Linked DNA regions of Drosophila melanogaster. The protein of the gene in region 1 interacts with the protein of each later gene in a biochemical or structural test. Each region holds a gene or a part of one and is shown in the gene's direction. Other genes may lie near its edges.

Region 1 (7,535 bases):
ACAGCACTCGCTGGGCGAGGACGCTTTCATTACCATCGACGATGTGTTCCCGCAAAATTGACCCAGTTCCCCGACGCTGCTGAAGATGTTCGAGACCACGCTGACCCTGCCGCGAACCAGTGTGCTTACGGAACCGTTGGGCAGCGCCGGAACCGGATCTGGGCCCTCCACATCAACGGCTGCCGTGGCAGTTCAGACCAGCAAACGACGCCGAAGGCGGCGTAACAAACGTCGCCGCAAATCCTCCCTGTCCAGCAATACCGATGCCCCGTCGTCGCGGACCTACGATCCCGTGATGACGGGCAGTACGCTCCGGTCGGCAGCTGTGGCATCGGTGGGCGGGGGCACGGGCACGGGACCAGTGCGTCGGGGTCGTCGCAGGAGCGGGGTCAGCTCATCTTCATCGGCGGCAGCGGCTGCAGCAGCGGCAGCGGAGGAGGAGGCGGAAGAAGCGGAAGCGGAGGCGGCTCGCCAGGAGGAGGAGGAAGCGGAAATCTTGAGCGGAAACAGCAGCCCATCGATGTTCGTCGATCCGCAGGACTTCTTCGAGACACTGGACTAAATTTAGATTATTTACAATTTGCAGTAGGTTAAATTTTGTTGTTACTTCCGTTCTCTTTCTTTTTTACCTGCGCAACCGGCTTCAGTGCGCCTATTTAAAACTAATCGCCGTTCTTTTAATTGTTCGATTATGCTAAAGATGCTATGCGTTTGGCGGCCTTTGATTTGGCGTGATTTTTAATAACTTTTAACATATATTTTATATAGCCTCTCTAAGCATAAAGTGTGTAATATTATGATGTATAATTAAATTTGCGAAATGTGCTGCGACACGACCCTTGAAATTGAATTAGCCCTTTGTTTTTCGCTTCCACCGCCCGAAACACAACAATCACACACCAAAATATAATCTAGAATTGATAGTGAAGGGACTAGCCTGGAGCAAAAGCTGTTCAATCATCTCCTTAGCATGTTAATATAGAACCGAATCCATAGTTAACTGGTAGACATTCGCGTTTTAATTCTCCGTGTTTTCAGCGATTTTCGATGGACTCCGCGCCATCCCGTGTCTTGTGGCAAGACTAAGCAAAAGCAAATGAACATTTTAAGTGTAATGTTTCGCTATAGTGTTTAAGCGTATTAAAATTTAATCTATATATACAAGATTGGTCATACACACATTCGGCAAACATGAATAGAATTTAACTGGATAATCGTTTAAATATATTGTATGGATGTGTATTTCAGGAAAGCGAGAACTGTGTTTTAAAGGGGGTTCAAATTGGATTAAATATATGCCATTCTGACAATGTGTTCAGTTTTATATATTAAAATTGTATCTTTTCAAATGTCATGATTTGTTGATTAAGCTGAAGTTTTCAACAAATAAAAATAAAAATGAAAGCACATTCAAATTACCAAATCACTTGCAACCGTATTATTTATTATTCCGTATAAATGATCGTTTTTAAATACCAGGTAAAATGCAAGTTCAAGTCATTGGTCTTTTAAGGATCAGGAGTAGAATAACACATTCATTTAATACATTGTTTTGTATGCTTATATATATAATATAGTTTATAATGTTCACAAATCCGGCTGCCTTATCCTTTGCACTTTTTCATGATTTTTGACGTGCTCCTTTAGCAGACGCATTATTTCGGTATCGAATTGAGGAGGTGTTGGCTTGGTATCGGTGGCCCAGTAGAATATATCCCAGTCGTTGCTGACACCATTGATCAACTGATCGTACTCGGCGGTCTGCTCGGCATTGAAGTCCTTCAAATGCTTGGCCACAAAAGTGCTCAGCAAGAGATCGTTTTCCAGCATTCCGCGTTTCCTGCTTTGATACAAAAGGCTGCACAAGATAATGAATGATCATAAGTAGGAGTTTGGGATATTTTCATTTTAAGCGTATACCGCTGCTTGCGAGTTTCCAGCGGCTCATCGGGACGGACAGGATATTCCGGAACTGGCAAATGCGGCGGATCATCGTAGTCCACAATTTCCCCGGGTGTTGTGTACTCAGTTTTGTCCAAATTGCTGGCGAGGCGACTTTGGGCCATCATAGGTAGTTGCAGGCGACGGCCTACCGTAGATACCTGTGTCCAATTAAGCAATCAATTATATTTTACTACATTTGGGGCCATAAACTTACTATAAATTGCCGCAACATTTTAGGAAACGACCAAAACAATGATATAACGACAGTGTTGGCTAAGAAAGTTAAGTATAATCGATAGATTCCTGCTATAATAATCGGCTGTTGCTATAAATAGTGCTGGAAAGTGCACACTTTGTTGAATTAATCATTTATTTTATTTAACCGTTCAAACCTCAGGCGAATTTAAATTAAAATAGTTGTTTTATTTTAAATATGAATATATTTGGGAGAATATGCACTGCAATTGTTATGAAAGGTATGCGAATTTTTAATAATTATTTGCAATAATATAAATAAAAAATATATCTCTATTTGTATCACTTAAAGCTCAAATATTGTATTCATGAGATCCTTTTGAGTGGCCTGCTATTTAAAATCCAGATAAGTTTCAAAACATAATAAAAAAATAAATGTCTGTACATACAAAGTGATGCAAAATATTTATTGAAACTAAAGTGAGCATGTTCTTTCATATTTATATAAAACATTTTATTAAATTATATGTATATAAATAGCGGAAGATTTTAACAAATTTAAATTTTTAAATATAAGCTTGTTTTGCAGCAGCTGTTGTTGCGGCCAGTGCTGGTCAACAGCCACCCCCGCCGCGTCCAGTGCTGCGCACCGACGCCGCCAACAGCTGTTCGAACGCCTCGCTCTGCAGTTGGAAAGAGCGAACGAAGCGAGAGAGAGCAGCTAAATTTTCGCACACCAGAAAAGTGCAATTTACCAATATCACTGCGGCCAAAAATACAAGTGCAAGTGCTCGGCAAGTGCAACGGTAAACTATCACGATCGGTGCAATAAATACAGCGAGTCGCGAAAAAGAAGCGCAAAGCGAACGGAACCAATAAGAACAGCCAAACGCAAAAGAGAGCCTCCTGCACACACACGCACACAGCAGGCTGAAGCAGACCCACACACACGCATACACTAGTGCGGTGTGTATACGACTGGAAAACTAGGCGGTGGTAAATGTGAAGCTGAAAAAAGCTGAAAAAAAGGAAAAGGAAAACTCGTGGGGTGGTGGGTGGCGGCCCAGTGGGCGGGGGGTGTGGCGTGTGCAGCGCGTGAGAGTGCGTAGTGCGTGCGTGTGAGTGAGTGAGTGTGTGCGCGCGTGTGAGTGAAACAGCGACAAACTAAATGAAAATTTATACATCCGAAATGGTTAACAGTTTGCATAAAAACGGCATTACTTTTTGCATATGTTAATGTGCTTAGGCAAACGCTCGAAAAAGAAAACTCCACAACCCACCGCCTTTTTTTCCACCAACCCGGCGCTTTTTTAGCGCCTACGCCCACGCTTAATACATACACACTGCATAAAAAACATACAAATAAAACCAAAAAAAAAAAAAAACAAACAAAATTTATAAAAGTTTTATTAAAAGTGTGACAACAAAAAATAAGTGGTATCCAAAAAATAAGCTTGAGTTTTTGGCTCTTTGACCTCGAGACTAATTCACTTACATGATAAATTACCATCGTTCTTATCGCGATCCAGCATTATCTGATGGATTTATCTTATCAGCGCGATTGATGAATTTTGTATCGATATCGCAAACATGCTCCATATGCAAATTAGCTGGCTATCATTGCTTTTATTTTTACTTTGCGTCTGCTGATAAAAAACAAAAGCAACATAATTGATACAGTGCGCGGCCCATTGCACAGACAGTGGCGGTCATAAAATTAGTGCTTGTCTCAGTACAGTACAACATCCATAGAGCGAACGATGTGTTCCATAAACCTTGTAACATCAGTTTAAAATAATCTTTTTAACTATTACATACAAATTAATATACAGCTGTGTTTCTCATAATAGTTGAGTAACAGAAAGAATATTACAATTACAATTACAATTTGTGTTTATACACAGCAGACAAAATTAATTTAAGATAACTCAACATTATTATTTTGAACTCGGCTGTATATTTAACACATCCTTGATATTCATTGGTTCGCCTTATCGATCGCGCACTGTTTATAGTGAATCATCCGCTGACCCGTGTATTTGTTATTGTTGATGGGTTCAATACTCCATTTCAGTTGAAATCGTTAAACTGTACATAAGCAAATAAGACATAAAGAAAAAAGTCCAGGAAAATTGGAAAACAAAAGCCCGAAAACCGAAAAGCCCCGTGTAAATCCGAATCCGAATCCAAATCAGTATCCAAACCCAACCACAATGGGCTGCACCACATCCGCCGAAGAACGCGCCGCCATCCAGCGATCCAAACAGATCGAGAAGAATCTAAAGGAGGATGGAATCCAGGCGGCCAAGGACATCAAGCTCCTGCTGCTGGGTAAGTGCACTTTTCGTCGCTTTTTCTCGTTTTTCCACTTGGGTTTTTCTCACCGGAAATGGAAATCCTGCTCAGCGTTTACCTTTCCACTCGACTCGACTCTATTGTTCGTTCTATTTTGGTGGAAATTGCTGGTTTATCTATCGGCCGCCAGATTCCGGGGCACTTGGAAAATTTTATTTTCGGTTTTATGTGCCGATAGATAGGGGGATATTTATTGCACACACTTTTACTCTGCGGCGGAAATGCTGGATGTACTGGACGCAATTTTGGATTAGCTGCTCTTCAATTTCCATCAAGGCTTATATCAGAGTTCACATTTTTTAGAAGATTCAAAGACTGGAATAAAAGTAAATTCAAAAACTATGATTTTTGTATGTACTGACTGGTTATTTAAATTAAATGTAATGACTTGTTGCCCCACAAAAGGAATCGAACTCAAGGTTATTCCACTCTATTTGAGTGCTGATGAATCGATTCCATGACAAAACTATTTTTAGCGTGTTTTTTTTGGCCAAGGCGAAACCGAAGTAATTTGGGTCAACTTTTGGGTGTTGCATGTGGCATGGATATCCGAAAATAAAATGGACTCATGCACCACTGTGCATGCAACATCTTAGACAATGGCAGCAGCAACAGTTGCATCCGCCCTCGTGGCAGGCGAGTGTGAAAACCTAAACAGTTTCGAGGAGCCATGTGGCCTGCGGATGACTCGGTCCGATTAAAGTGGTTTCAGTACCAAACAGTTCGATAGTGATGAAATAATTACAATGTTTTTAAAAAATATATAAAATAATGACTAGAATTAGCCAAATCTAAGAAAACAGTGCAAATTATCTGAACATAGCTTAAGAATTTAAAGATGCTAAAAAATCATCATGTAGATATTGTCTTTGCTGTCATCTCTATCCTGCATCAGCCTGAATCTCATCGTCGAGTGCATCTGTGAGCTGCAGCTGCAGCCTTAGCCTTAGCCTTAGATTTTGTCCAAGTGCGTCTGCATCCGCCAAAAGATGAGGGCAATCGACGCCACTTGACATTGAAACAATTGCACGTGTGTGCCAGTGGGCGGGTGTGCACCATGTAGCATGGTTTCGAGGTGCAGTGTTTGTTAACCTGGTTGCGCCACTGACACCGAAATGTCAGTTAATCCCATTGACTTTGACTTGCCCCCGAAAACGAGATAGGGATGCAGTCAGGCAGAAAAAGGACAAAGCTGCAATATGCACGGGAATTTCTCTTTCACTTTAACATTGTACACAAACATGTTGCGAAAAACAAGCAAAATCTCCATATCGTGGATGCACTTAAAGCAGCATTCAAACAAACCAAAAGTTAAAGATATAAAGTTTACAAAACATTTAATGCTTAAACCAAAAATAAACCAGATCAAAGTACTTCTTATATGACTTAGTTAAGATAGATGCCTTTTTTTTTTTTTGGAACAAGTTTCTCAAGTTAATACATATTCCCCTGCTCTGTAACCCGTTTTTGTTTGCTGTGTAGGCCCATTACTTCCCACACAGTTGCTCGCTGTTGTTCTGTGCAATCAGGCAAAACTTTTAAACGCCCTAACAAGCAACAAGGAGCAGAGTCGAGTAGCGAGGAGTGCCGAGGAGGGAGTGTATTGCAGCCATGTTGCAACATTGAAAGTGCGACGGTATGGGCGATTCTCTCTGCAGGGGGTGGTGCCCAGAAGCCGGAGTCGGGGGCAGGTCGAGGGGCAGACGAATGGCAGGCGGAAGCATCGAATGGCGGCCAGGAAACACTAACGAAACAATGGACACAGCGGCACCGGACGGAAGGGAGCGAGAGGAAACGTGTACATGTCCTGGGTGTGGCTGCATACTTCACCACAGCACTGTGCCTCTCGAGTGGCGCCTCCTGGCGGAAGTTTGAAGAAACCGCCACTTGAGGCATAATTTTCAAGCCGAAAGGAAAGGCTATTGAGGAAACGTTCGATGCTCGTTTGTTTGCCACTTTGCCGGCCCTTGTGCCGTCGAGTGATATGGCTACGTGAAACAATCAAGAAACAATTGCTAACTCAAACTGACTAGTTGGCAAATAAACGTCGTAGAAGTTTCATTTTTGTAAAACCCCAACATTCCTAGATAGATAAGAACAAAAACTATTAGTTCTTTGGTAGAATTTTAAATAATTATTATGAGTTAAAAAAGATAAGACTCTATGTTTATGAACTCGAAAAGAATTTTGTTTTATCTTTTCCAATGATAAAAAATAATAACCATATTCCAATCAGAAGAACGTTACAAGTTTAAATATTTTTTAAAGTTATAGTTTATATACGAGTTTTTTATATAGTGGAATTTTTACTTTAATTCGTCTGAAAAAGTGCGTAACATCTTAAATATATTTATTGCGATCTGGAGAATATAATTTAAATACGCTCCGGGACCTATTAAGACCAATTCTTGGAAAACATTTCGATTTGTAACTTTGGGGAGAATGAAACATTCCGTTTTTCTAAAGCCTTAAAATGCGTCACCGATTTTTCTTTCAAATTCTTGAATAATTACTTATATTTCTTGATCAAATTATATTTTTTTTTATCAATATGGAGCTGTCGACAACCCATCCAATCTGGAACACCAAACATATGTAGCAAAGCAATTAGGCTGGGACCCGCTTCTCCCAAATTTCGGAGCCAAGCAGTCCACAAAATGACAATAAACAGGCTCGTTAAATAAACTATAAAAGATGCCAAATACAGCACAAATCGAACGTAATTGAGCAAAGTCAAATGTCGCCCGAGTGCCAAAAGGCCTCGCGACCTGCAACCCATGGAACGCCACAGAAAATGGAAAATGGCATTCGATGGATGGGTGGTTTTGGCTTGGGCTGAGCATGGGGTAGGTGCAGATTGTTTCGGACAAGTGCACAAGTGCTCCACTTTGCCGCTGTCTGTCACTTATTCGAAAGAGCGCAGAGTTCGCGTGATAAAACAAAAACAGAAAAAAACGTCAATTTGCTTGCCGTTTGTCGTTGGCTGCGGTTTGTGGTTCCGGCCCCTCACCAAATCGCATATATATATATATTGTAGTTCA
Region 2 (7,302 bases), on another chromosome or scaffold:
CTGTGAGTTCTGTAATAAACTGGAGTATACGAAAAAATAACCACGACAGCTAAAAAGGGGAAAAATTTGGGGCAAAAAGGAAGTAAACAGCAGCGCGAACAAATGGCTCGTTTGGCTAACCTTTTCTGTTTGGCTGCCCTGCATTGCTTTTGTTTATAGAAAAGTTTAAATTGTGTCAATTTTTTGCTTTTTTGGCGCTCGCGCAATGCAGAAAGTTTGGGAAACAAATGAAATGTGGGTAAAAACAATTTCCGAAATCGCGACAAGGACGGCGACTTAGGACCCACAAAAAGTGTGGGTATGATAATGCCACAAAAAAAAAAAAGAGTATATTCTAAGATGTCAGGGGTGAAAGTTGGCATTCCAGTGAAAATTGCGTATTTTCCTATTAATTTTCCAGTGAGACGTTTACGAATTAAATCCCTAAGCGGATAGAATGGCGGATTTTCATCAGGTGCAGCTGGATGTCATAGACACAAAGCTTGCTATCAGCATAGTTTTACTGCTCTTTACGGTTCACTGCGATTCAGTGAAGCGAAAATATTTACTTTTTTGTTGAAATATTGATGACATTGGTCAGATTTACCATTTGAGCACACACAAACATGAATGCGAGCAGTGAACTTTGACACTTTTGTACATATATGGAAAAAATTCAATCAAAGTTTTCCATTTTATTACTGTATATTAATAATATTCTTTAATATACGATCCAATGAAATGCTTTCATGAGCCCCAATTATAATCAAATAACAAAACACTTAGCAAACAATGGTGACATTAATAAATTCACAGGACATTCATCAATCAAAAATCAGTTCGATCGATATTATTAACCCTTAAATACATTAAACTTTCGGTAATGACTGAGGTGCTTCCGTCGATTCCCATCTTCGAGGGGACATAATTTATTGATTTATGTATTCAGTCCATTTGGGAAATTAGGTTTCAATCATTTCCAATTGATTTCTTCGTCGCAATTGAGAAACTTTTCCTGCCAACTTTCAGCAGCAAAATAGTTGGACAAAACAGGCGAAAAGTCGGTTGGTATGGGAATGCAAAATGCTCGGCATCTCCTAGTGGCTAACAAAATCCACTGCCAAACTAATTTGTGGCCAAAACTATGTGAGAGGCGAGCAGGAATGAAGCATGTGCCAAAATAATACAATAGAACCAACTGAAACTTACTTGGGCTTAGTTGAAAAGAAAACTTTCGCTAGCCAAGAAATTAAAGTGAAGTAGGAACTAGACTTCTGGACAATTTACGAGCTCCCATGGGATCGCCAACCGTTTTGGTAACCATGTATATAGCACATATATAGTATGTGCGCGTCGAGTCAGTTTGGCAATATAAATGACGATAAATTAATTATCGGCCGATCAAGTCATTGTCGCCATTAATTATGGGCCCACGATGCACGGCCCAACGGCCTTTTAATAGTTTTTCACACGCCCACGGGACTCAGGACCTTCGGCAATTAGGATGTGAGGTAGATGGATGTGAGGTAGATGGAGATGAGGAGATGAAATGAAATATGGCGTGAATGGGCCGAGGTTTTATGACAATGTTTGCTGCCTGAATAGCGCGGCAGCATCGTCTGGGCCATGAATTTAATGCGCTGCAACAGTTAATGATTTTATTGGCACTCCAGTCGCAACTTGGCCACATCTTTGGGCAGAGACCGGGAATCGGGGACAGCGGATTGGTGTTAGAATCCTCGTAAACAGTCGGGCTGGAATTTATGACTTGGTCTCATGAATATAATCAATGTCAAGAGCGACGCCAAGTGTCGTCTGGGGATCGCACTTGCCGCGCTCTCGAATCCATTCCCCGCAAGAAATCTGAGTGCCCTGACCAGACGCAGACGAATCCGGATGAGCCGTAAACGAAGACGGGCAAATCGCTCGCCTGGCTTAAATGGCATTTCAATTTGGCACTTCCGTTTCCGCAACATCCCACCCCCATTGCTTTCTATTGGCTTTCTATTCTTTGTCCGTAATGTCCTTGCCAACATTTCAATTGGTTCAACACTGGCTGACTGGGGTCACTTCTGCAGGTCTTGCTACGGATAATCCTTAAACATTTCAGCGTTAGAACTTCGAACACTTCGATCCGTTTACCAATAACATTTTACATTTCACTCGAGCAATTTAACTGCTGTTTTCGGGTTCAAAAACTAATTCAACAGCGGTTCTGGGTGCGCGCGTTCAACCAATGCGTTTGAAAGTCCCAATGTAACTGAAACGGCGTGGGCCAAACACAAATAACACGCTACGCAGATGTAAGCTCACCGGAAGGACTTTAAAGGACGAGCGTTCGGAGCTTTTATTTAAATCGAAAAGTAACTGACGGCAGTGGGATGTGACAAAAGTTCGTTGCTATGCAACGAAGGTCAGCCCAGTGTGGCAACGATTGCTTCATAAATTTCAATGAGTCTGGCAGCCCTGTTTTTATCTAATTCAAATTTGTAAATATCGTTTTTCTATCAATGGTCAATGCCTTCAATATTTGAACAAATCAAATTTTCTCTAGAACTGCTTGTTAAAAATTGTTGACATTCTGCAAAACTTTAACAGTAATTACTAAAAATATGGTGTGTCAAAGTGATCGATGTTTCACAAAAGGTATGTAATATCGATAGTATCGAGTAAACATTTTAGTGTGTTCCATCTCTAATCATAGTTACGCTTGCGCATTGTAGACATAATTTTAATTACCGATTTACACACAATTAATTGCTACAAATATGCCTGATAAAGTTACAACGATGTTATTAACCGCGTGAATATGAGGTAGCACCCAAAGAAGAGTTAGTTATCAATTAATTAGAGGCCTAGAAAAGTGTAACAAAATACGCCTGGCCATTGGTGCGCATGTGTGTGTGCCATTGATTACATAGTTGGCATAGGCGACGCACGGGTGCGAGCGAGAGGGGGCATCATCCAAAAAGGGGCGCAACAGAAACCGCATTCCATTTCCAGAAATCCAGGTTGCAGCTTCCATCCATGAGAAAGGTGCGTACAAATGTCCAGATGTGGGTTAAGATTGGCCAGTACTCCTCATCATTCGTTTTCTCCACACAGTAAGCGCCATGCACCACCATCATCCGCCTTTGCCCATAACCGGAGCAAGTGGCTCCACAGCCGTGGGAACGGGAGCAGCTGCAGCGGAGGATGCATCACCTGCTGCGAATAGTGGGCCCGCCCCCATAAGCACCTCAACCACGCCTTCGGGATCCAACAGCCAGCAGCATCAGCGACGTCGCAAGAAGCGAGCCAACTACAACTACAATGGCATCCGCACCGTGGAAGTGCGACGTGGTTACAATGGCTTCGGTTTCACCATTTCCGGGCAGCAACCATGTCGGCTGTCTTGCATCATCAGCAGCTCACCTGCCGAGCAAGCTGGCCTGCGTTCCGGTGACTTCCTCATATCGGTCAACGGTCTAAATGTCTCCAAGTTGCCACACGAAACAGTGGTGCAGCTCATTGGCAACTCCTTTGGCAGTATTCGCATGCAGATCGCCGAGAATTATTATTCCGACAGCTCGGATGAGGAGAACGCCCATGCCACGCTGAGGGGTCAATTGTTGGCAGCCAGTTTGAGGCACAAGCCCAGGTTTCTACACCACAAAGCCAAACTGCACAGATTGCGCAACTCGCCACAAAAGAAGCTAAACCCACCAGAGGCAGTGGAACCGCACAAATCAAAGTCATCACCCGATCACCCTACATTAAAACCCGTTCTGGAGGATCCGCCTCTGACAGCCAATCTATCCAAAGCAGCGGATGTGGCCAATGTAAGTGCCATGGTGCGAGCTGTGGGCAGTGCTGCACTGGAGTGCCGTGTTATTGTTGGCTATCTGGGAACCATCGAGATGCCCAAGCAGATCTCGCATAGTTCCAAGCTGCAGACAGTTCGATCTTGCATTCGAAAACTGAGACAGGAGAAGCGACAGCCCACCATTGTGCTGATGTGCATCACGCCGGACAGCTTGAGCCTGCAGAGTTCCAGCGGCGGAGTGCTGGCCACCTACTCCTCGGCCAGGCTGAACTTCGTGAGCTCTTCGTCGGAGAGCGAGAATCGATTCTTTGGTCTGGTCACTAGCGCCGTGCACAACACACAGATCGAGGAGGAGTACGAGCCGAGCGCTGGCAGCGCAGCAGCTGCTGGTCACATCAGTATCTCGCACAGCTGCCATGTCTTCGTCATCGACACCAAGCTGATCGAACATGCACAGCATTTGCAGCGGGCCCACGAGTTCCGCCTGCAGTGCACCCGGGATCCGATCTCGAATTTGTGTCTCGAGTTCCCTAACAACTCGGAATATGTGGTGAATCTCGTGCGCAGCATGTATACCATGCGGATTCTCCCACCGGCAAGTCGGAGTCATCAGGCAGACTATGAGGCGGGTGCAGGAGCCGCCGCAGCTGGAGGAGCAGTAGCAGCTGCCCACTCGCCGCAGCCATCGAACCACAGCGAGATCTCCACCACCACGTCCAATTCGGATTCGGGCATTGGCTTCAACAACGATTGTACGAATATTTCGGATCGCATTCTGGTTGTGGACTTCCTAGCTGCAGGAGCGGGAGCAGCGGCGGCGGCACATGCAGGACCACCAACTTATCCAGCTCCTGCTCGTCCACTGGGCATAGTGGGAATACCGGATAATCGACTGACTGTGCGGGCCATGCCCGATCATTCCGCCCTGCTAAGATCGCCGCCAGCGAGCTCTTCGCTTCGTCGACCCAATCTCCTGGCCAGCTTCAATCTGATCCAAAGTCCCGCCACGAATCTCACATCCACCCGCTCCTGTGATGATGTCCTTAATCTTTTTGTCGACGATTCACCGCGCACTTTGGCTGCCGTGGCCTCTATGGATGACATTTCGCTGCACTCGGCTGCTCCATCGCTCGATGAGGGCCACACGTTTGCCCATCCAGCGTGTGTGCCCCGCAAGATGCGCAGATCGTTGGCTCTGGAGACGCCAACAACGCCACACAAGCTGAGTGCCCAGGTATTTGGTCAACCTGGCTCGCGTCATTCGCTGGGCTTCGAAGCCATCGACAGTGTGCAGTCGTCGGTCAGTGGTGCATGTATGGATCAGACCATGGACACGTGGGCCAGCCTGCAGAATCTGCACAAATCGCACAAGGATCGGACCAGCATGTCCGCTTCCTCGTCCTCCCACTGCCTTTTAGAAGCTACGAACAGTGAACCTGATTTGGGGGTAAGTGGAGCATATCCTTTTGTTTATCCTACATGTATCATAAGTTTTTGAAATGATTGGGAATACCTATAATATAATCATAAGTGCATTTTATATCAAATCTAACCCATACAACCCTCGGCTTATGTGAACCGCTCCTGTGCGCGGGCAGAAATCTGTTTACCTGGACGCCGCTCCAAGTTACCTGCGTTCTCGGAGCTTATCGCCCCACACTGCTCCTCCTGCTCTCTGGGCCCACAGATAAGGGGCTCTTTCTCTCTCTCTAGTGGTCTGGTGGGCCATATATCGGCATTCCTTTGTCCGCTTACCCGGAGTTTTGGTAGTCACAGTTGGGCTTTGGCAATAGGTGGCCACGGTTCCGTTATCTACGATTCGGGTACGGACATCGCCGGATTTTAGTTACTATTTACGTCCAGGCCGTTACACTGCAGCTCCGATCGGTATTATCACGGTTTGGGGATTCGAACGCGTCATGGTTGATAAGGGCGGAAGTCGCTGGCTAAAAATAAAGTGCTCCGAGCCGAATGACGTCATGGGCGTAGGTCACGACTGAAGCCGATCACCAGTGGAGCTCCATCACGAGCGGCTGCCTCCGCCGTCGATTCCTCTGCCTCGAGCTTAATTCAATCTAAAGCAATTAATGGCGTCGATGTCGACTGACCTTTTCGCTCCTCCGATCGGCCCCCACATCCCAATCCTCCACAGAATTCACATCGGGTACTCGTAATTTAGTTTGATTTTCGATTTGACAACACGCGATTTTTTTGTACGATTTTTGTGCGATTCGGTCGTCCGTTTGCGGCGGTTTCACTTTCGTCTCGCTGTGCAGTTGCTGTTCCCTCGTGTATTTGTTTTATACTAAATACATAGTACACGATGTGGGCATATTAAAATGAAAATATAAATAATATAACCGTCTGTGAAAAAGTTGCTCCATAAAAAGTTCAACGCCAGTTCAAGGAGCTTCGTCAGCAGTTGTGACTGAAATAAATATAAATAAATTGTCATTACGATAAAGCAAGAACAAAAACACAAACAAAAAAATTGCAAGTGCAATTGTTTTGCACAGGCAAACAACAAAAGTGATCAGCTCGATGCAAAAATGTCATTTCGAGAACTCGTTTGTGGCCTGTACTCCGAGGAGAAGGAGATCGAGGTAAGCTGACAATATGTGATTTGTGGATATATCTCACACTTATCGCTGCCCACTTGATCGATGATACACCCTTCTCAAAAAGTTCAGAAAAAAAAACAGTGGGATCGAACTCTTATTATGCATAAGTCAGTAATTAGGCAGAGGTTTAAGATCGCTCGTGGAATAAATTTGACGTTACTGGTAACATATTTACTTTGTTTTATGCCTGGCTGGGAATTGTGTACGATTCACCCTTCTACATAACGAAATTCTCTATTTTCAATCCCCCTTAAAAGTGACTAAAGCAAACCACTATGTATCGTTTGGAATTAGTAATCTGCTTGTTTGCTCATTTCAGCACGTTCTTACGCCTTTGATATAGTATGCTCTATTTCTTTTCTCATGGTCGCAATCAGCAAACAAAGTTTCTTTTTGTTTGCCGTTCCATAAAACTGTGACACCTGGTGGTAAGGTGGTAATTATTATTACCTTGAGTGTGTGTGCTCTGCTTGAATAGACAGTGCTCAAAACTACTATCATAAATTAAGAATATTATACATACATATATAGTCTGGGATCTGAAACATTCAAATATTAGCACTTAGATAATCAAATCACACATGTCTATATGAAAATATTGATGCAGCACTTAGTAAACTCATCCATCATTTCTCTAACTGATAAAACAGTGATGCATGTACATATATGAAATGCTAATGGACGTAAATTACATAAATTAATTTAATTTCGTTTGTTTCTAAGCTAACTAAGAGTTGTGTTCTAAAGATTTCGAGGGAACGATAGCCAGCTGGCGACTAATGAGCAAGCATGTCAAGTGCACTTTTGTGACTTATTTTTAAGCCATATTATAGACACGCAATCGGGGACTTGTTTTATATCTAAGTTGGCCGGGTGTTCCAACAGGTTGACTCTGGT

Evidence for each region.
Region 2: of the proteins of Galphao (region 1) and loco, one has a biochemical effect on the other in vitro, tested with the Drosophila melanogaster proteins (one study listed by BioGRID).

Annotation. Positions count from the first base shown.
Region 1 is NT_033778.4:10,435,162-10,442,696, forward strand, and holds the start of Galphao (G protein alpha subunit o), read left to right. Parts: upstream 1-2,823; 5' UTR 2,824-2,945; intron 2,946-3,086; exon of another isoform or gene 3,087-3,190; intron 3,191-3,309; exon of another isoform or gene 3,310-3,331; intron 3,332-3,444; exon of another isoform or gene 3,445-3,576; intron 3,577-4,209; exon of another isoform or gene 4,210-4,213; 5' UTR 4,214-4,284; exon of another isoform or gene 4,285-4,352; coding exon of another isoform or gene 4,353-4,470; intron 4,471-7,535. Other genes in the region: RanBPM (Ran-binding protein M), read left to right, coding at 1-61; CG12895 (uncharacterized protein), read right to left, coding at 1,588-1,858, 1,921-2,102, 2,159-2,176. UniProt on the Drosophila melanogaster protein: Guanine nucleotide-binding proteins (G proteins) are involved as modulators or transducers in various transmembrane signaling systems.
Region 2 is NT_033777.3:22,634,730-22,642,031, reverse strand, and holds the start of loco (locomotion defects), read left to right. Parts: upstream 1-2,644; 5' UTR 2,645-3,015; intron 3,016-3,084; 5' UTR 3,085-3,092; coding exon 3,093-5,231; intron 5,232-5,575; exon of another isoform or gene 5,576-6,333; coding exon of another isoform or gene 6,334-6,387; intron 6,388-7,302. UniProt on the Drosophila melanogaster protein: Acts as a regulator of G protein signaling (RGS).